6 linked regions of the Oryctolagus cuniculus genome follow. The protein of the gene in region 1 binds, or shares a complex with, the protein of each later gene. Links are inferred from orthologs where the notes say so. Each region holds a gene or a part of one and is shown in the gene's direction. Other genes may lie near its edges. The genes, in order: YWHAG, HDAC4, TLE6, CAMKK2, CASP2 and NEDD4L.

The links.
Region 2: the proteins of YWHAG (region 1) and HDAC4 are in contact, whole or in part, in a crystal structure (PDB 3UZD), measured with the Homo sapiens proteins. The link is inferred for Oryctolagus cuniculus from reciprocal best matches to the Homo sapiens genes YWHAG and HDAC4. Residues at the interface, in NP_036611.2 of Homo sapiens: Asn43, Leu44, Ser46, Val47, Lys50, Asn51, Arg57, Phe122, Lys125, Arg132, Tyr133, Gly174, Leu177, Asn178, Val181, Glu185, Leu221, Ile222, Leu225, Asn229, Trp233; in NP_001365345.1 of Homo sapiens: Ser348, Pro349, Ser350, Leu351, Pro352, Asn353, Ile354, Leu356.
Region 3: the proteins of YWHAG (region 1) and TLE6 are in contact, whole or in part, in a cryo-EM structure (PDB 8XI3), measured with the Mus musculus proteins. The link is inferred for Oryctolagus cuniculus from reciprocal best matches to the Homo sapiens genes YWHAG and TLE6. Residues at the interface, in NP_061359.2 of Mus musculus: Lys50, Arg57, Arg61, Lys125, Asp129, Arg132, Tyr133, Gly174, Leu177, Asn178, Val181, Glu185, Phe201, Asp202, Ile205, Ala206, Leu208, Asp209, Glu213, Tyr216, Lys217, Thr220, Leu221, Ile222, Met223, Gln224, Leu225, Arg227, Asp228, Asn229; in NP_444484.1 of Mus musculus: Phe137, Leu138, Ser139, Glu140, Ser141, Asp142, Leu144, Gln145, Leu295, Arg347, Asn430, Leu447, Gln470, Met472, Asn489, Asp510, Asn511, Thr512, Met530, Pro553, Arg555.
Region 4: the proteins of YWHAG (region 1) and CAMKK2 are in contact, whole or in part, in a crystal structure (PDB 6Y6B), measured with the Homo sapiens proteins. The link is inferred for Oryctolagus cuniculus from reciprocal best matches to the Homo sapiens genes YWHAG and CAMKK2. Residues at the interface, in NP_036611.2 of Homo sapiens: Ser46, Val47, Lys50, Asn51, Arg57, Arg132, Tyr133, Gly174, Leu177, Asn178, Val181, Glu185, Ile222, Leu225, Asn229, Trp233; in NP_001257414.1 of Homo sapiens: Leu99, Ser100, Leu101, Gln102, Glu103, Arg104.
Region 5: the proteins of YWHAG (region 1) and CASP2 are in contact, whole or in part, in a crystal structure (PDB 6S9K), measured with the Homo sapiens proteins. The link is inferred for Oryctolagus cuniculus from reciprocal best matches to the Homo sapiens genes YWHAG and CASP2. Residues at the interface, in NP_036611.2 of Homo sapiens: Glu15, Asn43, Val47, Arg57, Arg61, Lys125, Arg132, Tyr133, Pro170, Gly174, Leu177, Asn178, Val181, Glu185, Glu213, Asp214, Lys217, Asp218, Leu221, Ile222, Leu225, Asn229, Leu232, Trp233; in NP_116764.2 of Homo sapiens: Asp137, Leu138, Ser139, Leu140, Pro141, Phe142, Pro143, Val144, Cys145, Glu146, Leu150, Lys152, Lys153, Leu154, Ser157.
Region 6: the proteins of YWHAG (region 1) and NEDD4L are in contact, whole or in part, in a crystal structure (PDB 6ZC9), measured with the Homo sapiens proteins. The link is inferred for Oryctolagus cuniculus from reciprocal best matches to the Homo sapiens genes YWHAG and NEDD4L. Residues at the interface, in NP_036611.2 of Homo sapiens: Lys50, Arg57, Arg61, Lys125, Arg132, Tyr133, Gly174, Leu177, Asn178, Val181, Tyr184, Glu185, Leu225, Asn229, Leu232, Trp233; in NP_001138439.1 of Homo sapiens: Pro444, Arg445, Ser446, Leu447, Ser448, Ser449, Pro450.

Annotation. Positions count from the first base shown.
Region 1 is NC_091450.1:44,225,998-44,230,019, forward strand, and holds the start of YWHAG (14-3-3 protein gamma), read left to right. Parts: upstream 1-1,222; 5' UTR 1,223-1,464; coding exon 1,465-1,551; intron 1,552-4,022. UniProt on the Homo sapiens protein: Adapter protein implicated in the regulation of a large spectrum of both general and specialized signaling pathways. Binds to a large number of partners, usually by recognition of a phosphoserine or phosphothreonine motif.
Region 2 is NC_091434.1:1,481,343-1,485,290, forward strand, and holds the start of HDAC4 (histone deacetylase 4), read left to right. Parts: upstream 1-1,148; 5' UTR 1,149-1,455; coding exon 1,456-1,516; intron 1,517-3,948. UniProt on the Homo sapiens protein: Responsible for the deacetylation of lysine residues on the N-terminal part of the core histones (H2A, H2B, H3 and H4).
Region 3 is NC_091447.1:59,670,061-59,674,058, reverse strand, and holds the start of TLE6 (transducin-like enhancer protein 6), read left to right. Parts: upstream 1-1,198; 5' UTR 1,199-1,495; intron 1,496-1,579; 5' UTR 1,580-1,603; coding exon 1,604-1,663; intron 1,664-2,131; coding exon 2,132-2,217; intron 2,218-3,494; coding exon 3,495-3,540; intron 3,541-3,998. UniProt on the Homo sapiens protein: Component of the subcortical maternal complex (SCMC), a multiprotein complex that plays a key role in early embryonic development.
Region 4 is NC_091452.1:7,645,278-7,649,318, forward strand, and holds the start of CAMKK2 (calcium/calmodulin-dependent protein kinase kinase 2), read left to right. Parts: upstream 1-1,241; 5' UTR 1,242-1,387; intron 1,388-1,800; exon of another isoform or gene 1,801-1,937; intron 1,938-4,041. UniProt on the Homo sapiens protein: Calcium/calmodulin-dependent protein kinase belonging to a proposed calcium-triggered signaling cascade involved in a number of cellular processes. Isoform 1, isoform 2 and isoform 3 phosphorylate CAMK1 and CAMK4. Isoform 3 phosphorylates CAMK1D.
Region 5 is NC_091434.1:180,474,528-180,478,685, reverse strand, and holds the start of CASP2 (caspase-2), read left to right. Parts: upstream 1-1,358; 5' UTR 1,359-1,508; coding exon 1,509-1,582; intron 1,583-4,158. Other genes in the region: TMEM139 (transmembrane protein 139), read left to right, coding at 1-22. UniProt on the Homo sapiens protein: Is a regulator of the cascade of caspases responsible for apoptosis execution. Might function by either activating some proteins required for cell death or inactivating proteins necessary for cell survival.
Region 6 is NC_091441.1:20,107,563-20,111,062, reverse strand, and holds part of NEDD4L (E3 ubiquitin-protein ligase NEDD4-like), read left to right. Parts: coding exon 1-1,031; intron 1,032-3,500. UniProt on the Homo sapiens protein: E3 ubiquitin-protein ligase that mediates the polyubiquitination of lysine and cysteine residues on target proteins and is thereby implicated in the regulation of various signaling pathways including autophagy, innate immunity or DNA repair.

The DNA of each region.
Region 1 (4,022 bases):
AGCACTTACCTCCTAAATTCTGCCAGGACAGGTTCCTCCGACATCTAGCAGAGTCTAGAATATTCCCCTCACAGAAACTCATGTGAGGTTCAGAGCCCTTCCTTGGACTCCCTTTTTTTGCTTTCTAACCCACATTATTGATTTTTATCTCGCTTGTTTTGTGGGGCAGGGATTTTTTTTTTTTGCTGCTTCGTTCATTGCTGGGAGCATAGCAGGCGCTCAATACCTGTCGAACGACTGATGCAAAGCAGGCAGGCGAGGGTGGGTGCGCGCTGTGGAACCCAGGAATAAGCCTGTGTCAGGGTGCAGGTGCTGGGTGGGGGCAGAGGGGTGGCCCGCCCCAGCCGCAGTGTCATGGAGATAAAAAATTCTGCAGCTCCACCCGGAGCGGAGGAACGGGCTCCGACGCGTCCCCTGGGGACGTGAACCAGGGTGCCCAGCCGCTATTCCGCTTCCTACGTGTCACCCGGACAGGTCCAGCAGCCTCCAGGGGGACTGCGGACCTGGAGCCTCGCTTGGGGACAGAGAGTCCCCCGCTTCAGGCAGCCGTCGCGCGGGGGAGCGCCATGCTGACAGGCTGGAGCTACCGTGTCCGCGCCCCCTCATTCCCTCTCCCGGGCCCTGCTCCCCGCCATGACCGGCTATTCTGCCTGGAAAACAGGGTCTGGGCTGGGGCCCCGCCCCTCCCCGGGTAACTGCCCAGAGGACATGGGGCGGGGCCGTGAATCAGCACTCGCTCCGACCGTTGCCGCCCTCGTCCCCGCCAGAGGTCTCCCGTGTCCGCCGGTTTAGGAGCCCCATCCTCCCACGCCCCTGCGCGCTATGCACACTGGGAGATGTAGTCTCGGCCGCCCTTTTGTCTTCGGTTTCCTCAATGCGCCGTTGGACGGCGTTGTGAACTACAACTCCCAGGAGCCCACGCGCGCCCTAGGCCCGGCCGGCCCGGGGCCTGAAGGGGGGAGGGGAGTCTGGAGAGGCTTAGGCGAAGGAATCCGGGTGCAGTAAAAAAAAAAAAAAAAAGGGGTGGGTGGGTGGGAGCGTGGCGGGGGGCAGCGGGGAAGCAGAGGACACTCGCAAGACCGCAGCGGGCCGAGCTGGGGGATGGGGGACCGAAGCTCGAGCGGCGCGAATGCCCGGGCGGGGCCTGGGCGGGCGGGCGCGCGCGCGCGCGCGCGCGGGTGAGTGGGCGGGGCCGCTTGCGTCACGCGGCGTGGGCGGGGCCGCAGGGGGTTGTCCGCCCGCGGCACGCACAGCAGCCGCAGCCGCCTCGCGCCCGGTCCCGCGGTCGCAGCTCGTGCCGCCTCCTCCTCGCCGCCGCCTCAGCCGCTGCCGCCGCCGCCGCCTCAGCCTCTCGCCTCGTGGGTCGGTCTTTCCGGCACACGGGCCCCAGCCGCGCCGCAGCCGCCCTCCGAGCCCCTTCAGGCCGCCCCGGTGTCCCCCTCCGGCCCGACCCAGCCCGCGAAGATGGTGGACCGCGAGCAACTGGTGCAGAAAGCCCGACTGGCCGAGCAGGCGGAGCGCTACGACGACATGGCCGCGGCCATGAAGAACGTGAGTGTCTCCTCCCCTCCCCCACGCTCCCCCGTCCCTCCGGGAGGGGGGCACGCGGTCAGCGGCGGGCAAGGCCCGGCGCGACGGCAGGGGAGGGGGCGGCAGCCCGGGGGCTGCGTCCCCGCGGGGGCTGCGGCGGGGACCCGGGTGGGGACGCGGCCTCGCCCGGGGGGCCCGGCGGCGCTGGGCGGGGTCTTGCGGGTCTGGTCTCCGGGTGTGCGGGGGGCCCTGCGCATCCTTTGTGCCCCACTTCCCCTCCTCCCCGCCGGGCGTGGGGGCGGGGGGCCGCATGGACGCCGTTCCTCTTTCTCTCCCTGGTGTCTGGGCGGCGCCTTTCCCGTCCGCTCGGCGGGTCTCCCGGGTGGCCACCCCCTCCCCAGCCCTTGGACCCTCCCCGGGGTGTGGGGGTTGGGGGGGGGGGGAAGGTGCTCCGGAAAACCTGGGCTCCGCGGTGCAAAATCGAAACCTCCTGGCTCACGTTTTTCTTAACAAAAGGCTGTAGCTCCATGGCCCAAAGCGCATCCCCTGCCCTTTTTTTTTGGGGGGGGGGCGTTTGTCTCGCTGGCGTTTCCATTGATTGTTCTCAATATGTCATCTCCATTTTTTTCCCCTTGTGTTCTTGCATTGGAAAGGGTAGGTATCGCCCTGAAAATAAACGTTGAGAATTTAGCTCCCTGTTTCTTCTTTGAACACAGGCACGCGTCTGTTGAAATTCCTACAAGTTGAAAAAAAATATATAGAGATATAGGCACACAGTCCGTCTGATCTGATATTGCAAACAAAGCGGTGGTGGGAGGCAGGATCCAGGCGTTCCAGAAGGTTCTGCATTTGTCATATTGCAGAGAGCCTAGACTGGGTGGAGGCAGGGAGCACTTCGCGGCCAGGGGAGCGAGCCCTTGCTCAGGAATTCGCTCTGGGAGCCGCCGGAGCTTCCTGCCCCTCGCCCTGGAGGAGAGGCAGCCCCGCTCAGCCCCGCGGTCTGGTCTGTGCGGGATGCGGGTCCCTGCCCCCGGCTGCACCATTTTGTCAGGAGCCCCAGCTCGCCCCGGCCCGCAGTGTGAATTCAGGGGAGGGGGGCTATTGCTGAAGGAGACGCAGGAAAACGGATGGTTTAGGGCTCCCACCGCCTTAGTATTTCACTTCCTGCCTTATGTAACAGGGTTAGAACGCCTCTCGGGCTGCGGTTTAAGGCTGCACCTTCAGAGCGGTGTGGGTTACGTTCATTCTTGAGCAGCAAGGTGACAAGGCTGGTCTGTTATCCTTGCTCCAGCTACAGATATTAACAAAAATTTTTTTATCCTGTTGAGGAAGGTCATTGTTCTGAAATTGGAGATGGTGCTGTTTTCATACATCCACAGAGTTGGTAGTTCTTAACGTTTTAATGCTCTGATAATGCAAGTCGCACTTTTAATATCTGCTCAACACTATTGGGAATATCTCCGGTTCGTGTCCTTTATTTAGGCTTTAATTCTGCCATGTTCCGAGTTTCACAGGAAGGCGAGTGACCTCGCACCTGTACCCATAGCAGCCCAGTGATGTCACGCACAATGACACAGAGGCTGCAGTGCACCTCGGAGCTGGGAGGAGTGTGCACTTGGCGTCTGTCCAAGGAGTGCAGAAGGTGGCTGAGGAGCCAGGTGGAGCTGAGCCCTTTATCCTCCCCCAGATAAGAACGGGTCCAGAAAACACGAATTTCCTTTTCCCTCAGACATGCAAACCCGCGACCCCTGGATATGCCTCACTCGTCTTCCCGTTTCCAGTTGGTCTCAGGATCCATGAGATACTTTCGTCTTTTTGAAGCATTGATCTCGCACATTTTAAAAATTGGGACAACAGCGGAATGAAAGAATTTTTAAAATAATACAGGATCACAGTGCAGGGGTGGAATGTGTACTCGGGTTTATTGCAAATAATTGGCAGGTTTTAATGAAAACCCTAAGAAACTGCGGCTTCCCACTGGGTTATTCTCAGGAAGCCGTAGGGAACGGAGACCTTTCAGGAAACATTTGACTTCAGGATTTGGGAAGCTGCTCTGTGCTTCCTCTCCTCGACAGAGCAGGGAGGAGAGAACCAATTGTACAATCAGGGTTTTTTTTTTTTTTTTTTTCTTTTAAGATTTATTTATTTGAGAGGCAGAGAGAGGTCTTCCGTCACTGGTTCACTCTCCCAAATGGCTGCAACAGCCAGAGCCAGGAGCTTCTTCCTGGTCTCCCATGAGAATGCAGGGGCCCAAGCACTTGGGCCGTCCCCCAGTGCTTTCCCAGGCCATTAGCAAGGGAGTTGGATCGGAAGTGGAGCAGCCAGGACTTGAACCAGTGCTCAGGGGGATGCCAGCAGGCTTCACCCGGTGCACCACAGTGCTGGCCCCAACAAGGATGTTTTTTGAAAGCTATTTATGTTGACTTAGCAAGTAGGTTTCCCTCTGACTTCCTTTCCCCATCCGTGGAATGGGGCAATACCTGCCTGAATGG
Region 2 (3,948 bases), on another chromosome or scaffold:
CTGAGCCTGAACGTGAGCCTGGAGCCTGAACCTGAGCCTGAGCCTGAACGTGAGCCTGGAGCCTGAGCCTGGAGCCTGAGCCTGAGCCTGGAGCCTGAGCCTGGAGCCTGAGCCTGAGCCTGAACCTGGAGACTGAGCCTGAGCCTGGAGCCTGAGCCTGGAGCCTGAGCCTGAGCCTGAACCTGGAGACTGAGCCTGAGCCTGGAGCCTGAGCCTGAGCCTGGAGCCTGAGCCTGGAGCCTGAGCCTGAGCCTGAGCCTGGAGCCTGAGCCTGAGCCTGGAGCCTGAGCCTGGAGCCTGAGCCTGAGCCTGAACCTGGAGACTGAGCCTGAGCCTGGAGCCTGGAGCCTGAGCCTGGAGCCTGGAGCCCGCCCCCGGCCCCGGCAGTCAGGGACGCGGGGATGGCCCACAGCTGGCCGCTGGCACGCCGGGCCTTGCCCAGTCTGTAGTAATGAGAAGCGGCTTCGGCGCTCAGCTCTGTTTGCACAGTCCCCCCAGGGATGGCGGCCTGGATGGCCCGCTCACCGGTCAGACTTCCTGTGGTTCGGTGGTTTGCTTCTGAGTGCTAGCTGCTTCCGAAGCCCCTAAGTTGTTCGCCAACCACATGCTCTCCCCACTGTGGAGGGGACAAAGACAGAAATTTCCCAGATGTCTCCAAGTCAGGGCTGGGCCAGGCTGAAGCCAGCGGTCACTCAATCTGGGTCTCCCACGTGGGTATCGGGAACCCAGCCATCTGAGCCGTCTCCTGGTGCCTCCCGGGGTACCTGTTAGCAGGAAGCTGGGGTGCAGAGTGGAGCTGACTCAGCCAGTGCCCCCACGCGGGATGCGGTGTCCCAAGCCGTGGTTTAACTGCTGTGCCAAGCACCCAGCCCTGGAGGGGACATCTTGACCAGAGAGGCCAGGCGTGGGAGGGAGCCCCGGCCCTGCTGTCACAGCAGAGCCCGGGGTGGGGGGTGGGCATGTTTGGGGTGACCCCGTCTCCCTAGGCAAGCTCCGGAGGGGCAGGAGGGGTGGGGGTGGCCGCTTCCCCGGGGAGGCTCCCGATCGCCCCTCCTGTTGGCTGTGGGTCTCCCAGGCTCCCGCGACTCAGGCTGCTGTGGCCGCGTTGCTGCCTGTCTTCAAAGACGAACCTCCGTCAGGCCGCAGGCGAGCGCTTGCCTCAGCCGTGAGCGTGGGGTGTGAGGAGGGCAGGAGCAGGGCGCTTGCCCGGCGCGCGTTTGCTGCCAGTGCTGCGTGAGCCTGCCCTGGCGTGGCTGGGCCGGAACGTAAACAGTGTGCTGCGCAAGCCGCCAGCCGAGCCTCTCGTGGCGATCCCGTGTATCATCTGTCTGTTATGTAATGTGACAACATGGAGGTGAAATGGAAACCAGATGTCAGGGCGGGGCCGAGGGAGCCGTCCTCAGCCAGCGCCCGGGAGCAGGCAGGGCCTGGGCCGCCGCCCCGTGAAACCATCGAATGCCCTCGGAGGAGCGACTGCTGACGGGTCTCTGGGCACGAGCAGAAGTCCTGCCTGAAGGTAAAGTGCCGGTGGGCTAGGAGTGCCTCTGCGGGCAGACACGCGTCCCGGGGTTCCGGCGCGCTGCGGCCTGGTGACTTGTTAGCGGACCCGGGTTAGAATGCTGGGGCCGAGGGCTCTGGCCACCGCCCTTGGCCTGCGAGATGCCTCCAAAGGGCTCCGGATTAGGAGTGAAGGGGGGAGGTGTGGTTGGTCAGGGACTGGCTGTGTGGCCGGGGCCAGTGAGCGCTTACTGAGGGCTGGCTGCTCCACACTCGGGGCCCTAAAGAGGCAGCTCGCGGGCAGCAGAGGCCTCCGTGCTGTGCTGGGGGCCGAGCCCTGCCCCGCGCAGAGGTGGGCGCTGGGTGCCCTTGGGGAGTGAAAGGCACACCCCGTCCGTCAGAAGTGTGGTCTCCCTGGCTGGAAGCCGCCGTGGCCTCGGGTGAAGGCTGCGTGTTTCACTCGGACCAGAACCAGAGGCGTCTCCGCTGCTCTTTCCGTTCGGTCACGGATCTGCTGGGGAAAGCTGCGGCTTCCTCGCTGTGCTAAGGAGACGCTGGAGCGGAGCTCGGGGTGTGGCCGGGCCCCTCACCCTGGTTGGTTAAAGCTATGGAAGTGTTGCTTTCTCACTAGGAAGGGCTGTGGCCGGAAGCCACACAGGCGATCCCGCGTCCCGGGTCACCAGAGCCTGTGTCGGAGGTAGAAGGGGATCCCGGCTCCTTCCCGTCCCAAGGGCGGGGCTCTGTGCCGGGCTCTCCCGCTCACCGTGTCTGTGGGCCGTGGCTCCTGTGCAGGGGAGCGTTTCCTGGGTGCTGGGCCTGGCGAGATGTGTTCACGCAGCTTCGTCGTTTTAAAACACACCTGAGGGAGCAGAGAGGCTGGGGGGCCACGCCATGCTGTGCGGGAGGGGGCTGCAGCTGGGTCCTGGCTGTGCAGATGTCAGGAATCCCAGTGCTGTAGGGACAGGCGTGCGTGACGGTTCTGGGCGCTTCGGGCCGCAGCGTCTGGAAAGAAGTGGAGAACGCTCACCGGCCTCGCTCCGCTTCACCCGTTCTAAGAGGAAGCTGAGGAGGGGCCGTCGCGGCCGTGCTCGCCTAGAACCGGTGTGGCCGTCAGACAGTTACGCGAGCGAGTGCCCCGTCCGTGTTGGGAAGTGGACTTGGGGTGCTCAGTGAGCTGCCGGGGCGGGCCGCAGCAGTGCCCGTGTTTCCTGCGCAAGGACGGGGTGGGGGGGACATGCCTTTCTGCTCGCGGAGCACCCCTGCCCTGCGGGCTCCTGGCCAGCAGTGGGGACCTGGTTGTGACCACCTGGCCCCCGAGGTCTTGGGGCTCCCACCCTTGGAGGCTCCTCTCCCGCCTCCCTGCTTGGGCTGTAGGGCCTCACCAGGAGGCAGGCTCTTCAGTGTTTCATTTCTAAATATAGCCCCTGCTTCTGTTTTTAAAAATAGTTCATGCTTCCCGGAGGATCCTGGACACAGTTCCCATCCATCCCAGGGTGGCTGTTGGAACGTGGAGCCCACCCTGGGGCTCGGGGCGTTGTGCCCAAGCTCTCCTCCTGTCTTTCCAGACAAGGTGCAGGCCCAGTTGAGCATGGACGTCCTGAGGGCTCTACCCCCGGGGGTCGATGGAGTGTCTGAGGCCCAGGAGATGCTGGGATGGCACAGCCCAACCTGGCCAGCCCCTGGGGCCCCCACTCCTCCCTGACTCTCCAGACCCGGGGCATGGAGCTTCCCCAGGGAGGTGGACACAGGTGCAGCCCCCCCGCCCCCGCATCCCCATATACCCTGGACATCCCTACGGGTTCCTGTGGTCTCTTTGGAAAGTTTTCTCCACCAGTGGTGTCCTGGCCTAGGGGTAAGTGGGAAGTGGGGCTGTGGCTGCCTGGTGATTTGCTGGGGACATTGGGGAAGGGTCTTGCCTTGGCTATTTATTTATTTATTTATTTGAAAGGCAGAGTTACAGAGAGGGAGAGATGGAAGACAGAGAGAGAGAGAGAAAGAGAAAGAGAGAGCTTCCATCTGCTGGTTCACTCCCCAAATGCTGCAACAGCCAGGGCAGGGCAGGCTGAAGGCAGGAGCCAGGAGCTTCCTCCAGGTCTCCCACATGAGTGCAGGGGCCCAGGACTATCTTCTGCAGCTTTCTCAGGCTCATAGCAAGAAGCTGGATCAGAAGTGGAACAGCCAGGATTGGAACCAGCACCCACGTGGGATGCTGGCACAGCAGGGAGCAACTTTACCCACTACACCACAGCACCGGCCCCGTCAGTTGGCTCTTACACCACCACTCCTGTGTTACCAGGGCCTGGAGCCTGGGGGCTGTGGTTGAGCAGGTGTCCTGTGGTTTAAGTAAGGAGCCTTTTCCACTTTCGGTTCACATCATGAACATAAGGGGGTTAGGGTGGCTTGGCCCCTGGGGCAGGTGAGAGAGAGCAGCCCCGCCCCCTGGGGCAGGTG
Region 3 (3,998 bases), on another chromosome or scaffold:
ATGTAGGCGCCTTCTCTCTCCAACCTTCAGCCAGGTCCCTGGTTCTCACATCAACCGGAAGCAGCAGCCCCAACCCCGCCCACCACGAGGGGCGGCCGCCACCTCCAGGCCCCACCTACACCCCCGCCTCGCGCCGGCATCCGGGTACCCCGCGGAAGGTTCTAGATCCCCACAGACACAGGTGGCGGCTGCACATCGGGCACGCACTCGGTGCGCCTAAGGAACAGGACTTTAAATTTTATTTAATTTGAATTAATTTTAATTAAACAGCCACATGTGCGGGCGGGAGCCAACAAGGTCCAGATGAGCCGGCGAGAGAAGGGGCAGCCAGGCCCGCGAAGGACGCCAGCGGCCGCGGCCCACTGCGGAAAACCGCCCTCCGACCACCCGACCACCCGGCCACAACCCCGGGCTGTTAGAGCTCCTATCAGAACCTGGGGGCGGGGGGGGGGGGCGCTCCGAGGCCTGCACCGCGGCCCCCACACGCCACGCTCCCCAGGGACAAAGCAGAGGCGCCTGGGTCCCAGGGGCTGCGGGGTGCGGGCTGGTGTCCCAGGACGGGGGCGTCTCTGGGGGCGGGAGGGCTGGGGAGAGGCCTTGTGCCTGTGTCCCAGGCACAGGCCGCGGGAAGGGCGCCTCTGAGCGGGGCGCGGCCCACACGCGCATACAGGCGTCCCCTGTCCCAGGAACGACTCCCATCCCCACCCCAATCTCGGACGCGCCCCAGGCCCGGCTCTGCACCTGCAGGGCGCCCAGCTCGGGAGCCACCCGGCCTTTACTCTGCCCCTGCAGGGAGTGGGCAGCTAGGAAAGGGGGCGGGGCTGCTGGCCACCAGGCACTATATATAGCCCCTCTCTCAGGCCCCGCCCCGACCCCCGAGTCCCGCCCCAGCTCTCCGCTCTGCTAGTTGCTCTTCGCCGTCGCGGGCTTGCAACGGTTAAGCGCAGGCTCCGGGTACCTCTGAGTGACAGCCGGGCCGGAGGGCCGGGGAGAGACGGCCAATCAGCGGCGGCGGCCGTGGCGCACGTGGGCAGGCGGCCTCGCGATTGGTCCGCGCCGCTAGGCGGCCGCCCCGCAGAGCCCGAGCCCACGTGCGACGCTGGCTCTGGTCGGGAGCGGACTGGGGTCCGCGGCGGGGGCGGAGCCTGGGCGGGGGCGGGGCCCGACGGGTCAAAGGGGCCGGGGGCGGGGGGAGGCGCTCGCTGGGGGTCTGGACCCGGCTGACCCCTGGGCTTCTCGCTCTGCGGGAGGTACGTCGTCGGCTGCCCCGGTTCCCGGGAGGGGGAGTGGGCTGCAGCCGGGCTCCCGCGCCGGGGCGGGCGGCGGGAAAGGCGTCCGCGGTCGGGCCGGCTCCCGCACCCCCATCCGCACCCTGGGAACTCCTGCTCACTCTGCAAAACCCCCTTGGAATCACCCCCCGCTTCCAGTAACCGTCGCGAAGTGAGGCTCCGCGTTGACACCTGCTGTGGGCGCCATCCCCACTCCCACCTGGAGAGTGAGCCCCCACGGGTAGGGGGCTCCGGGCGGGGCGGGGGGCTGGGGCGGCGGTCCCTCTCCGAGCCTCAGCTCTCCGACCTAGGGTTCTGGAAGCTGCCGTCTCGAAATGACTTCCCCGGGCTCGCCCAGCCCCAGGCGCACCCCCTCGTCCCTGGAGCGCACCCCGGTAAGGAGGGCGCAGCGCGGCGGGGTGAGGGTCCAGGCTCCCACCCAGCGCTGCTGCCCGGCCCCCGTCTGGTCTTACGCCCACCTGTGCGGCGGCACGGCCAGCCCCTGCAGCTGCGGGCAATGAAGCGGGTGGCCGCCTCACCTGGAGACGGGGGCCCCGCAGCACCTGGTGGGTGGTTTGAAGGGAAAGCCCCCTCCCAGCTCCAGGACACGAAGGTTCCTCACCGTCAGGTGTCAAGAGGATCGGGTCTGAGACCCCCCACCCCACTGGGCACAGCAGGCGACCAATGCCCCCGCCCCAGGGAGAGCAAGACACCGAGCAGGGCTGTGGCTCTAGCTCTCGCCCCGCCCCAGCAGGCCTGGTCCGATCCCCGCGGCCTCCGTGGCGGAGGAGGGCCCGGTGGGCGGGGCCTGTGTGCGCACCTGTCCGTCTCTCTCCCTTGCCCCCCCCCCCCCCCCCGTGCAGCCTCCCCCTGGGACTTCTGCCTCCGAGGCGCTGCCGGTCCTGGACGGCCGCGTCACCCTGCAAGACCTCCGCGAGCGGGCCCCCAGGTGAGGGCAGCTGCGGGAGGGGCCCTCTGGGGGTGAGCGAGCTGGGGGCCCCTGCCCCGGGCGACTTTGCATTCGCGTCTCTGAAAATCCTGCCTTCAGATCTCAGCTTTGCATCACTTTAAAACATTTTTTTTTTTTATTTATTTTTTTTATTTATTTTTTTTTTTTTTGACAGGCAGAGTGGACAGTGAGAGAGAGAGACAGAGAGAAAGGTCTTCCTTTGCCGTTGGTTCACCCTCCAATGGCCGCCGCGGCCGGCGCGCTGCGGCCGGCGCACCGCGCTGATCCGATGGCAGGAGCCAGGAGCCAGGTGCTTTTCCTGGTCTCCCATGGGGTGCAGGGCCCAAGCACCTGGGCCATCCTCCACTGCACTCCCTGGCCACAGCAGAGGGCTGGCCTGGAAGAGGGGCAACCGGGACAGAATCCGGCGCCCCGACCGGGACTAGAACCCGGTGTGCCGGCGCCGCTAGGCGGAGGATTAGCCTAGTGAGCCGCGGCGCCGGCCACTTTAAAACATTTTTTGAAGATTTGTGTTTTTGAAGGGCAGAGAGAGGGCCTTCATCCGCTGGTTCACTCCCCAGATGGCCGCAACTGGCTGGGGCTGGGTCCACCCGGAGCCAGGAGCTCCGTCCCGGCCTCGCACGCAGCTGCCGGCGCCCAGCCCTCCGCGGCCTCCCCAGGCGCCCTAGCAGGGAGCTGGGTCAGAAGTGGAGCCGCCGGGACTCGAACCCGCGCCCACAGGGGGTGCGGGCTCTGCATCTCAGACACTGCAGCCTTGCTAAGTGTTTTGGGTTCTGAATTACTTGAAAGCCGTTCGCTGGTTCGCTCCCCAAGTGCCCGCAGCAGCGGGCTGGGGGCGGGGTCTGGGCCAGGCGGAAGCCAGGAGCTTCGTGGGGTCTCCCGTGTGGGCGCAGGGACCCATCACCGCTGGCAGCCGGGACTGGAACCCAGGCGCGGGTGTTGGCGTTCGGGGCTCCACCCCTCGGGGCGGGGTGGGGGAGGGCCGCCTCCCGCCTCACTGCCTGTGCCCCTCCCCTCCCGCAGGCTCCACCCCTCGGGGCGGGGGCCCCTCCCGCCTCACTGCCTGTGCCCCCTCCCACCTCACTGCCTTGCCCCTCCCCTCCCGCAGGCTCCACCCCTCGGGGCGGGGCCCCTCCCGCCTCACTGCCTTGCCCCTCCCCTCCCGCAGGCTCCACCCCTCGGGGCGGGGCGGGGCCCCTCCCGCCTCACTGCCTGTGCCCCTCCCACCTCACTGCCTTGCCCCTCCCCTCCCGCAGGCTCCCCTTGGAGGTGACCGCACAGCTGGAGAACGTCTCGTACTTGGTGAGCCCAGCACCTGGCCTGCCCCTGCCATGTGGGTGCTCTGCACGGGTCCGGGGGCGGCTGCGGAGCCCCCCACGCCCGGGGCGAGCGAGCGCGCGCTCCGTCAGGACGCAAGGAAACGCCGGCCGCAGGCGTGGCGGCCGCGTCCGGCTGTCTATCGTGGCCGTTCCTGTGGCACCCAGGCTGCGGGCGGATCTCGCCACGCGAGCTGGAACTGCGTGGTTACGGTCGGTTGGGTGATGAGGGACGCGGCAGATGACTGAACATGAGCGGGGCAGGCCCTGCCTTCTAGAACGTTCCAGAATGTTCTGTATTCCCAGTGTTCACCACTGACTGTCGAGTCTTTGAAAATGCACCTGACAGGACTAAAGGACAGAATGGGCTTTCCGTCGCGGATCTCCGTCACTCCCCAGAGGGCCGCACGGCCGGGGCTGGACCAAGCCGGAGCCAGGGGCCAG
Region 4 (4,041 bases), on another chromosome or scaffold:
GGCTGCTCCAGCTCTCTGCTAATGGCCTGGAAAAACAGCGGGGGTGGTCCAACTGCCTGGACCCCTGCACCCACGTGCGCGACCTGGATGAAGCTCCTGGCTCCATTGCAGCCACTTGGGGAGTGAACCGATGTGTGGAAGATTCTCTCGGGTGCGCATGTGTGTGCCTGCCTCTCTCTAACTCTGCTTTTCAAATAAATAAATAAATCAAAAAAAAAAAAAAAAAAAAAAAACTGCCCAGAGATTGCGCAGCGCCCTGTGCTCCGCACCTTGCTCTTCCCTCCACGCGGGGCTCTGCGAGTTCCTGGTGTTGGACAAACAACGGTAACGCACCCCCTTCCACGAGGTGGAGCAGACCACTGGAGGAGTGGAACAGGTTTTGTGTCTCCCTCTGCAGACGGCCATCGCAGAGGGCCTCCCAGACTCGGAAAGTGGGGGGGGGGGGCATCTCCCCGGAATCCACAGAAGCGGGCCGGGGATCCGCCCAGCGCGCGAGGAGCCTTCGAAGCTGGGGGCCCTGCGGCCTCCCCCAGCTCCCGAGTCCCGAGGGGCTGCACGGCAGGGCCGGGAAGAGCGGCCTGGGGTCGCTGTCCGCCCGGGACAGGTCTCCGGGCGCCCCCGGGGCCACGCGTCAGACAACTCGTGCGCTCTGGTCCGGCTCCCCGCCCCACCCCTCGCGGTACCGCTACCCAGCCTGTCCAAGCTTCTGGGCGGTCTCCTGCGAAAGTCAGAACTCGGGCGGCTTCCGGGCAGCCTGCCGCATCCAGGCGCGGTGGGGGTGGGAGGCGCACTCCTTCCGCAGCCTCCGGGGCCGGCCCTGCGCAGCGGGTCGGCCGCGAACGCGGGTGGGGGACCCGAAACCTGGGGCGGGACTTAGCCAGCCCAGCGAACTTTCTGAGACTCAGGCGCCGCCCTGCGTTTGGCTAAAACAAAGCGAGCGCCGCCCGCCCGCCCGCCCGCGGAGGAGCACCCGGCAGGTGCGCGCCGAGAGCCGCGGGACGGGCGGGTGCAAAGCGCAGCGCGGCCTCCGGCGCTCCGGCACCCGCCCCGGAGCCCGCGGCCGCGCCTCACTTCCCCTGCCCGCCCCTGCGCCTTGGCCGCGGCCCCGTCGCGCCGGCGCCCGCTTCCCCTCCCCGCCCCGGCGCGGGGCCGAGCCGGCGGGGGCGCGCAGGGAGCGGCGCGTGGCGGGCGCGGGCGGTGCCGCGCCCGGGCTCCCAGCGGCCGCGGCCAATCCCCGCGCAGCCCGAGGCGGCGCCGCGCCCGAGCCGGGCCCCGCGGCTCCGCCCGCCCCCGCCCGCACCGCGGAGAGCAGCGCGCGGCCGCCGAGCGAGCCCCGCCGAGCGGAGCCGGGGGCGCAACGCGCGGGAGGCGGCGGCGCGGAGCCCAGGTGAGCTGGCGGGAGCCGGGCGGGGGCCGGGGCCACCGCCGCAGCAGCAGCCCCCGGGCGCCGTCGCCGTTGCCCTCTCGAGGCGAGGGGGCCGCCGCCGGGGTTGCAGACAGAGCCCCGGGGGCCCCCTCCGCGGAGGGGACCCCACGTGCAGCACCCCACGCCCCGCCACGTGGAGGGATGCGGCCCCCCGCGCCCCTTCCCCGCGTCCGCCTCGGGGCCTCGGGGTGGCCTCGTCGGCTGGGCCGCTACCGGCCTGGGTGGCGGGGGGCGGGCGCAGAGTTTGGAACCGGTGTCGCGGGGCGGCCGGGGCTGTGGAGGGTCTCGGAGGCGGCGTAGGCCCAGCCCCCTCGCGGTTGTCAGGCGGGGGAACTTGGAGCGCGCGGGGGAGGTGGGGCCCGCGGACTTGGCGCGTCCCCTCGCGCGCTGGTCTGGGGCAAACCCAGGCCCCGGCCGCCTGGACACCGGGTGGCAGGACCGCAGAGCAGCGAGGGTGGGGACCTCGGCCGCTTCGCAGGGCACGGTCTGCCCCTGACCACCGCCGCCGCAGGTCCGAAGCCTTGGTCCTTTTGACCTAAATTTGCCTGGGCTGCAGCAGGCGGGGAATGCGGAGAGGAGCCTTACCCTGGCACCTTGCGCCTGACTCCGGGATGCTGGGCCCAGCCCCTCTCGGCGCGGGGTCCTGGGCCCCGGGGCGCCGCCCGGCTTGGGCAGCGGGGTGTTGCCCAGCGCCCAGCCTCTCCGCGGCGGAGGCCGAGGGATGGAGCTTGGGTGGGGACTTGTCAGTGCCAGCCGCGAGACGGGGGCGCCCCGGGCTCGGGTGGGACGCGCGGCGGCCGCCTCCCTGGAGGCAACTTTCGCCCTTCAGCTGAGACAGCCGCCCTGGCGATGGAAACTTGAGGTGCCTTGGAGCTGCGTGGTGTTTACCACTCCCCCGCCGCTGGCTCTGCCAGGGCGGCGCGCCCTGGGTCCCCCTGGCTCCTTTGTTCCTTGAAGAGGCGGGGGTCTGCTGCAGCCAGGCGGGGTGGGGGTGGGAGAGGGGAGGCCCTAGGGATGGGAGCTCCAACCGCCTCACCAAAAAACACACTTTGGGAGTAAACTGTGCCTGCTGGGCAGACGCAGCGTCAGATGGCTGCTCCAGCCCCTTCCTGTAGGAGTGCAGGCGTCGGTGATGAGGGTGCTCGGCGCATTTTTGTAATAAAGAATAATAGGCGTCATCGGGCGAGCTCCTAACTTGGGCAATAATAACGTTAATAACCGGCACTTATTCCTGCTCTGCCCCGAGGCTGTGCTGTGTGGTGCGCGCATCATCTCACACTTAACGCCTACCAGAATCCTGCGCAGATGGGGAGGAGATGGAGGATGGCACTCTTGGTGGCTAGGATTTAGTCCCGGTTTGGAGACGGGCTCAGAGAGGTTGAGTGACTTTCCCGGGGTCGCACAGCCGGGTGCGACTGGGTGTGTGGCGGGGCCGAGAGCCTTTTTGGCCTCACCGCTGGCAGCTTCTTGAGCCCGTGGTTGTCTCCCAGGGGCACAGAGCTCCGCGGGCCCTTTGCAGGTGTCAGGGGCCGATGTAGCCCCTACTACCTAGGCTGTTATTCTTGGCAGGGGGCTGTCTCCCACCCACCCAGGAGCATTTGGACAATGTGGGGGCAGCTTCTGGTGCCTGGGTGGTGCTGAGCACCCTGGCTTGTGGCCGTGCAGAGTTGCCGCATCCCACACGCCCTGTGGTGCCCCCACCGGGAAGCACCACCAGGGATAAAAGTTGTGGGAACGGAGGGGGCAGAGGACCTTGGAAGTTCTGGGGAAATCCCTTCCTTTGGGAGTAAATCCCGGATGCTTCCTGAGGGAGGTGTCGCTTGTGCTGGGCCTTGGGGGGAGGTTGGATGGGAGGGGGAGGGGGAGGGCATGGGGGGGGGGCTAAGCCTGGATGGGAGATGCCCCTGTGAGGGGTAGCGAGGAACGGTTGGGGCGGGGGCACGCCTGCTTCCAGGGCGTTTTAGATTTTAACCTGGACCAGAGCCGGCCTTCCCCTGCTGCGACCCCGTGTCACGGAAGGGCTTGGAGAGGCTGCCTCCCCTCCGAGCTGCTGCCCGAGGGAAGCGGGCAGACCACTGCCCACTTCCGCCGAGGCAGACCACTGCCCACTTCCGCCGAGGCACAGGGCCTGGTCCTGCTGTTTGTCTCTGAAGCTCCGTCTTCCCACCAGTGGCTCCCCTTCGGACGAGGCTGCGGGTTGGCTGTGCTGGCTCCGCCCTCCCGTCCATGGGTCGAGGAGGCTGCGTTGCTATGCTAGAATTGGCCTTTCTTCTTTCCATCTGTGCTCTTCGCTTACTCAGTTGTTAATGGACATTCACACGCGCTTATAAAATCCACGTAACACCAACCTAAACATCTAACACTTTATTTATTGACAGGGAGAGAGATCGAGCTTGCATCTACTGATTCACTCCCCAAACCCTGCAGAAACTGGGGCTGAGCCAGGCCAAAGCCAGGAGCCAGGAACTCCATCCAGGTCTCCCACATGGGTGGCAGGGGCCCAGGCACCAAAGCCATCGTGGCCGCCTCCCTGGTGTCCATCAGCGGACGGGGTGGAAGTGGAGCCAGGAGCTTGCTTAACTTTTTTTTTTTTTTTTTTTTTTTGACAGGCAGAG
Region 5 (4,158 bases), on another chromosome or scaffold:
AGACAGCTGGACACCACCCTAAAGGACTCTCCCACGACTGATCATCTCTCCACACCAGACCCACCTATTCATCCGATCAACATTTCCCTGTGTCTACTATGCGTGAGGAACTGTTTCTCCCGGACATCACAAACGGGGACTTGAACCCAGAGGGGAGGAGGCTACGGTAAGCCCTTTCCCAACTGGGATGAGGGTGGCGCCATGAGTCTCCTGGCACCGTCCGGTGACCTACCCTATGTTTAGTATTTCAGTAGATTGCCCAGAGAAACTGGAGGAGGAAGTGACATCTAAATGTCAAATGTGTCACAGGTTTCTACTGCAGGTGCTCTGCCTCCATTAGACCCCTTAGACTAACAGCCTCGTGAGGCATTGCCCTCATTGAAAAATGAGGATTCCAAAGGTCAGGGGAGTTCGACTATTTGCACAAGGGCGCACCGGCAGCAAATATAAAAAGCTTGAACTTCTAATTCTGAAGCCTATTGTGTTTTCAATACCAGATAACGGGAAGTCAGGCCACTCCTACATCTCGCAATCTCTGTCTTGGGAGAAAACAGAGGTAAAAGGCTTTATATCTAGATAGAAGGAGGAGGGGAGTTGTCTACAGACGGGGCGGGCCGAGCTTGGCTGGGAAGACTCCTTGCAAAACGAATCAAATAATCAACGTCGTGTGCACAGCGGCCCAGGCACCGCTCATCGGGTCCCCATCGCTCTTCAGGCCCCAACTGGGGACTTCCAGGTTTGACGATGCCGGATGTGAGTGGCAGAAAAGGATGAGCACATGGGAGCTCCTTGGAGAGCCACGAGGCACAGATTCTAAAGACTCCCCCTCTGGGGTCGTCTATGTAAAGCTCCCGGGTCACCTGCGAAGCGTCTCCAATCGCTCAGCCGCCTATCCCCGAGCGTTACCCAGGCCCCTGCCCTGCTTCCTCGGAGCCCACTAAGGACACGAGGCTTCCGGGGCTATGCTGTGGGTGCTGGCCCCGGGGGCGACGACATCATTGCTGACCCCGGCCTCCTCGCTGACCTTCACTGCGCAGGTATTTGTCTAAGGCCTTCTGGGCGTCTCGCCATCTTCTCCGCAATCTGGGCCTCAACATGTCAATAAAGTGAAATACACGACCGCCCTTACTCAGTGATGTTATTGCAATGGGGGGAGGGGGCGGAGAAGTGGGTGGCACCAGGGGGAGGGGGCCGTGATTTCCGCGGGAACCAGCAGCCAATCGGATTCCCAGGTCGGACGGCGCCTCGCTCTTTCCCCGCCCCTTCCCCTTCCGCCGAGCGCCTTCTCGCATCCCATTGGACGGCGCGGTCCCCGCGAGAGCTCCGGGGCCTGCGCTCGTACCAGGGACGGCGGGGGCGGAGCCGGCCTGGTGTCGGGGAGGATCAGGGCGTTTGTAGGGCGCAGGCGCGGGGTGCGCCTCCGGCCGGGGGAGGGATGCAGAGGAAGCGACGGCCGGGGGTTTGTTTGGGTTGTGGGCGGTACGTGCACAGCCCGGGAAAAGCGGGAAATGGCGGCGCCGAGCGCGGGGTCCCGGGCCAGCCTGCAGCAAAAGGGGCTGCTGGCCGCTGACAGGGGGCGCAGGTGAGTGGGCGAGGGTCTCAGGGGGGGTTGATGGGGAACAGGAGAGGAGAACGCGGGTCCCCTCGGGGCCTCTGCAGACAGCCGAGCCCACCCTGCTGGCCCAGCCGAGACCCCGTACGACCCGAGCCCCGGCACGTTCTCGCCCGGGCCTCTCGGCCTTGTCGACTCGCAGGCTTTGTCCAGCCCCGCGGGGCCCCGAGTGAGGGTCCCTCTCTCTGGTGCTGCTCTGGGCGCCGCATCCTCTCCCCCGGCTGCCTCGGAGGAGCACGTCCTCTGCCCCGAGGCGCTCGAGCTGTCCGGGCTGGATCGACTGTGTCCGAACCCGCTTGGCTTTGCGCATGATGACGGCCGCACAGGCTTTGGGGTGCAGTTTGCGCAGCACGAGGGGCTCCCGGGGCTCCCTGTAGGACTTGCGTGCCCACGTCTTTGTTCCGTGGCGGACGTCGCCCAGGAGGACGTGTCTTAGTGCTCTCTGGTCCAGACCCAGCAGAATAACGTGGGACGTCGGTACGGGAACCTTGAGGACATCAAGACTTTAGGATTCTTCTGCCCTTCGCGTTCTCTCCTCCCCCCTCCCCTGCGAAGTGTGTCCTTAAGTTTTGGATGATTGGCCACTGTGGGAGAGTTAAAATGTAAGGCTGTGCTCGAAGGAGCAAGTGTGCAGAGAGAAGACAGTCCTTCGGGTTCAAACTCAGGGTGTCGGGTGAAGATTCAGGGCTAGAACTTGAGGGTTAGTTGGGGAGTGAATTACTGAGTTCTGAGTGTGCATGCGATGGCCCAGGACTGGCTAGTGAGGGGAGTGCAGTCAGGGGAGGGAGGCCCGAGGTCCCCCCCCAGGACAGGCTGGTGAGGGGAGTGCAGTCAGGGGAGGGAGGCCCGAGGTCCCCCCCCCAGGACAGGCTAGTGAGGGGAGTGCAGTCAGGGGAGGGAGGCCCGAGGTCCCCCCAGAACAGGCTAGTGAGGGGAGTGCAGTGTCAGGGGAGGGAGGCCCGAGGTCCCCCCCAGGACAGGCTAGTGAGGGGAGTGCAGTCAGGGGAGGGAGGCCCGAGGTCCCCTCCAGGACAGGCTGGTGAGGGGAGTGCAGTCAGGGGAGGGAGGCCCGAGGTCCCCCCCAGGACAGGCTAGTGAGGGGAGTGCAGTCAGGGGAGGGAGGCCCGAGGTCCCCCCAGAACAGGCTGGTGAGGGGAGTGCAGTCAGGGGAGGGAGGCCCGAGGTCCCCCCCAGGACAGGCTGGTGAGGGGAGTGCAGTCAGGGGAGGGAGGCCCGAGGTCCCCCCAGAACAGGCTGGTGAGGGGAGTGCAGTCAGGGGAGGGAGGCCCGAGGTCCCCCCCAGGACAGGCTAGTGAGGGGAGTGCAGTGTCAGGGGAGGGAGGCCCGAGGTCCCCCCAGGAGAGGCTAGTGAGGGGAGTGCAGTCAGGGGAGGGAGGCCCGAGGTCCCCCCCAGGACAGGCTAGTGAGGGGAGTGCAGTCAGGGGAGGGAGGCCCGAGGTCCCCCCCAGGACAGGCTAGTGAGGGGAGTGCAGTCAGGGGAGGGAGGCCCGAGGTCCCCCCCAGGACAGGCTAGTGAGGGGAGTGCAGTGTCAGGGGAGGGCAGGCCCGAGTCCCCCCCCCCCAGGACAGGCTAGTGAGGGGAGTGCAGTGTCAGGGGAGGGAGGTCCGAGGTCCCCCCCAGGACAGGCTGGTGAGGGGAGTGCAGTCAGGGGAGGGAGGCCCGAGGTCCCCCCAGGAAGGCTAGTGAGGGGAGTGCAGTGTCAGGGGAGGGAGGCCCGAGGTCCCCCCCAGGACAGGCTAGTGAGGGGAGTGCAGTGTCAGGGGAGGGAGACCCGAGGTCCCCCCAGGACAGGCTAGTGAGGGGAGTGCAGTGTCAGGGGAGGGAGGCCCTAGGTTCTCCCCCCCAGGAGAGGCTAGTGAGGGGAGTGCAGTGTCAGGGGAGGGAGGCCCGAGGTCCCCCCAGGAGAGGCTAGTGAGGGGAGTGCAGTGTCAGGGGAGGGAGGCCCGAGGTCCCCCCAGGACAGGCTAATGAGGGGAGTGCAGTCAGGGGAGGGAGGCCCGAGGTCCCCCCCCCAGGACAGGCTAGTGAGGGGAGTGCAGTCAGGGGAGGGAGGCCCGAGGTCCCCCCCAGGACAGGCTAGTGAGGGGAGTGCAGTGTCAGGGGAGGGCAGGCCCGAGTCCCCCCCCCCCAGGACAGGCTAGTGAGGGGAGTGCAGTGTCAGGGGAGGGAGGTCCGAGGTCCCCCCCAGGACAGGCTGGTGAGGGGAGTGCAGTCAGGGGAGGGAGGCCCGAGGTCCCCCCAGGAAGGCTAGTGAGGGGAGTGCAGTGTCAGGGGAGGGAGGCCCGAGGTCCCCCCCAGGACAGGCTAGTGAGGGGAGTGCAGTGTCAGGGGAGGGAGACCCGAGGTCCCCCCAGGACAGGCTAGTGAGGGGAGTGCAGTTCTCCCCCCCAGGAGAGGCTAGTGAGGGGAGTGCAGTCAGGGGAGGGAGGCCCGAGGTCCCCCCAGGAGAGGCTAGTGAGGGGAGTGCAGTGTCAGGGGAGGGAGGCCCGAGGTCCCCCCAGGACAGGCTAATGAGGGGAGTGCA
Region 6 (3,500 bases), on another chromosome or scaffold:
CCGAGATCCTAGACCAGGAGAGAGAAGAGGACTTTTTCATGGCATTCCACACGCTGCCGCGGAGGAGCAGCCCGCACCCCTGCGCCCCGCACGGCACCGCGCCCGGTGGCGGCGGCCTGCAGGACAGCGTGGGCGCTCTCAAGCGCAGCTCGTCCATGTTCATCCCTCAGCTGCTCACCGGCCTCGACGCCCGGCCCACGCGCAGCTCGTCCGTGCAGATCTCCCTGCAGCGCAAGGCCGCCGATGGGGCCACCGACGGGTGCGGGCCGCCCGAGGGCCCCGAAGGCCACAGCGAGGACGGGGACCAGGCCGCGGCCGCCAGGGCCCTGGCCCCGAGTGGAGCCCCGGAGCCCGCCCAGAGGGACGTGTCTGGGGGCTCCCCACCGGGAGCCGCCCGGGACCCAGGCCCGCTGGTCAACGGCACTTGCGGCCGCCTAGTGCGGGGCCCCGGCCGCGGCGAGGGCTCGGAGGAATCCGTGCCCGGCCTGCGCATCCAGCACCGCGCATCCAGCGCGGACGTGCGCCAGGTGCGGCTGCTGCCCCTGGGCCCCGATGGCGCCGCCGAGCCCAGGCGCTGGTCCTTGCAGCACGTCCCGGATGCTGCTGGGAGCTCCGGGAAGCGCTGCTTCGTGTTCCAGCTGCAGCAGCCCCCAGTGGGCAGCCCGGGGCTGGGCGGCGACTTCAACTTCGGCTTCACGGGCACGAAGGGCGACAGGCTGGTGCGCTATCCCCGCATCCGGCTGGAGAGGAGCACCTCGTACCCTACGCAGCCGCGGGCCGGGCGAGGGAGCCCCACGGAAGACCGGGCCGCACCGGAGGCACCGCCGCGGGCCGGCAGGATGGCCCCGGAGATCCGCAGGACGAACTCGGCCGAGAGGGCTGCACAGGGCCAGGGTTGCATGTTTAAGATCAGGCAGGAGCCAAACGTTGGGCAGCAGCATTTCCGGATTCTGGTCACCCGGGAGCCCGAGGAGGCGCCGGCCACTGCCACGGAGGACCCCGCTGAAAGCCCTGGTCCCGCCGGGGCCGTGGTAAGTGCGCGGCCAGGGCTCGAGTTCTGGCAGGCCGGGACCATGACATTCGGCCCAGTGTGCGGGAGAGGCCCGCAAGGCTAGTGAGCGGTCCAGAAAGTGGCCTGTCTCTAGGCCCTCAGAGTTGGAGAAACCTGTTTTGGAAATTCAAGCAAAGCATACTATTTTTTTTTCTTCCCTCTCGCTTCTGTATAGAATAATTTTGAAAATTTATTACTTGAAATTAATCTGCCAAAAAAACAGGTCGGTGGCCCGGCATGTCTCGGTGCGGCCTGGCACAGCCCTCTGGGGTAAGGAGCAGGCGGCGCCGCAGAGGGCTCGAGGCGGAAGGCGGGTCTCCCTTGCAGCGCCTGGTGGGAAGGGGGCGGCCCTGGGGTCCTTCATCGCCTTGGGTTTTGTCCTGTGAGCACTGAGCAGGAGCAGGGTGGGCCAGGAGGAGATGGCGTTGTTGAAGCAGACAGGCTCCTGGGCCGAGGCTGGGGGTCCCTAGGGGGACCTCGCCGCCTTCCAAGCTGGGAGGGCCCCTGCTCCGGCTGTGGCCATGTCCACCCTGGAGCGGCTGTGGCCTGTGGGTGACATGGAGCAGAGAGAGAGTTGCCGGCCTGCTGGCGAGGGTGACGCTGCGGCTTTTCCTGCTGGGAGCGGGATGCGGGCGCAGTCCTCGGCTAGTGGCTGCTGGCTCGCAGGCGCTGCCCGGAAGAACCAGCTCCCTGCGTTTCAAATTGGATTCCTCCCTCCCCACCACCACCGAATTTCATGTGATTGCGAGTTTGAGGATGTGATTATGAAATGCCTGGGGGATTTTTTGGTTTGGGTTTCACTTGCGAGTTATCTTCAGAGTGAGTGGTTGAGTATTAACTAGAATTGTGTTGCCTTTTGTTCGGAAATATTTCTGTCATTCAAGTGAGCTTTATCCCTGTTCTATCACTGGTTCTCACTGTTTGGAAGGTGCCGTCCAAAGCTAGGTACAAATGTATTTCTCTTTTTTTTTTTTTTTTCTTCCCTCTTCCATTAGGATTTTATAATCTTAAGCTTACTTATTCGGAAATAGCTTCATCCTTTGTCTTGGTCCAGATCCATGCCGGTTTTTACACAGTGGTACAGATTTCTGTGGCGATTAGGTATAAGAGTGGCTTTCAGACCCCCCACCCCCACCCGGGGGGTGACCGTCGGGACAGTTGGAAGCTGTTATTTGGCAGCACAGGTCCTTCCATGCTGAACTTGACCACCGACCCTTGAAGATGGTCAGAAGCCACTCCTGAGGGTTCCCCAAGGGTTCAGTTGTGTTACAGAAGCATAGACCACGTTGCACCTCGCTCGTCAGGTGCAGGGATTGTTCGCAATCCAAGTCTCATTTGGCTCGAAATTTCTAATACCACTGGAAAATAGAAGAAGCTGAAAATCGTGTGTCTGTTATAAGGCCGGTGCCAGTTTGCAGTCCCCGTGGTGGAACACAGAGTCCGGCAATTAGGAGACGTAAATTCTGGACTACAGAGCTTTCCTAGTAAATGGTTGTTCTCATGTTTACACTTACATAAATCGTTTCACGGTCGGGACGTTGGTTTGCTTTTGAGCAAATGCGTTTTCCTTTAAAAAACAAAAACAGAGCCCGTGGCCCCGCAGACCCGCGCGCTCCATTCAGCAGCACTGCGAGCGTTTCCTGTGGACGGGGAGCTGAGCGCAGGCAGCAGCTGCCGCGGCCGGCCGCATTTATCTTGAAGGCAAACATTCGCTTGGGCGTCTACAGTCTGGCTGCCACCGGGGCGCTTTGGCGTTTCAGATATCTGCCGCTTCAGTCAGGAGGGCGTTGCGTGATGAGGTTTACATGAGAAATGAACTGAAGTCGATTACAGCCTGGTTTTGGGATCGTGGGGAAGATCCTTCTCAACTGGAGAATCCGAGGCAGGGTTCCCGTTTCTAAGCGGGCCTCAGCCCTTCCCGCGAGGTCAGGCTCACAAACAGGCCGCAGTGGCTGAATCTGAAATGCACCATGACTCCAAAAATGTTAGCCAGCCTGATTCGTAGGAAAAAATACAGCAGGGAACTCCTGATGATGATAGATTCTTTTCATCCTGTCACCATTAGTTAATAAAGTCGGTTCTTATACTCTTCGAGTTATCATCAGTTTAAATGCTTCAGGGGTCTTAGGTCTTACCAGTTCAGTCTGTGGTCTGATTTAGCAGTCATTTAGTGACTGCCTGAATTGTTTGATTCGGTTAGTTTTTGGTTGATTTGGTTCGGTTTGGTTTCGTTGTGAGCCCCTTGACTACTCTGGGCTTGGAGAAAATTGGGTCAGCATTGCCCAGCTTCGTGGGCCCCGTGAATGCCACCTTGTGCGTGATGACTGCTGAAGTGCACCTGGCACAAGCCGAAGAGCCGGCTTGCCCATCCCATCCGTGTCGTGGGCCGTTTCAGATCTGTGTCGATAGCACCACCCCGGCGACTTGGAAGGTTTAGGGACTGTCTGTT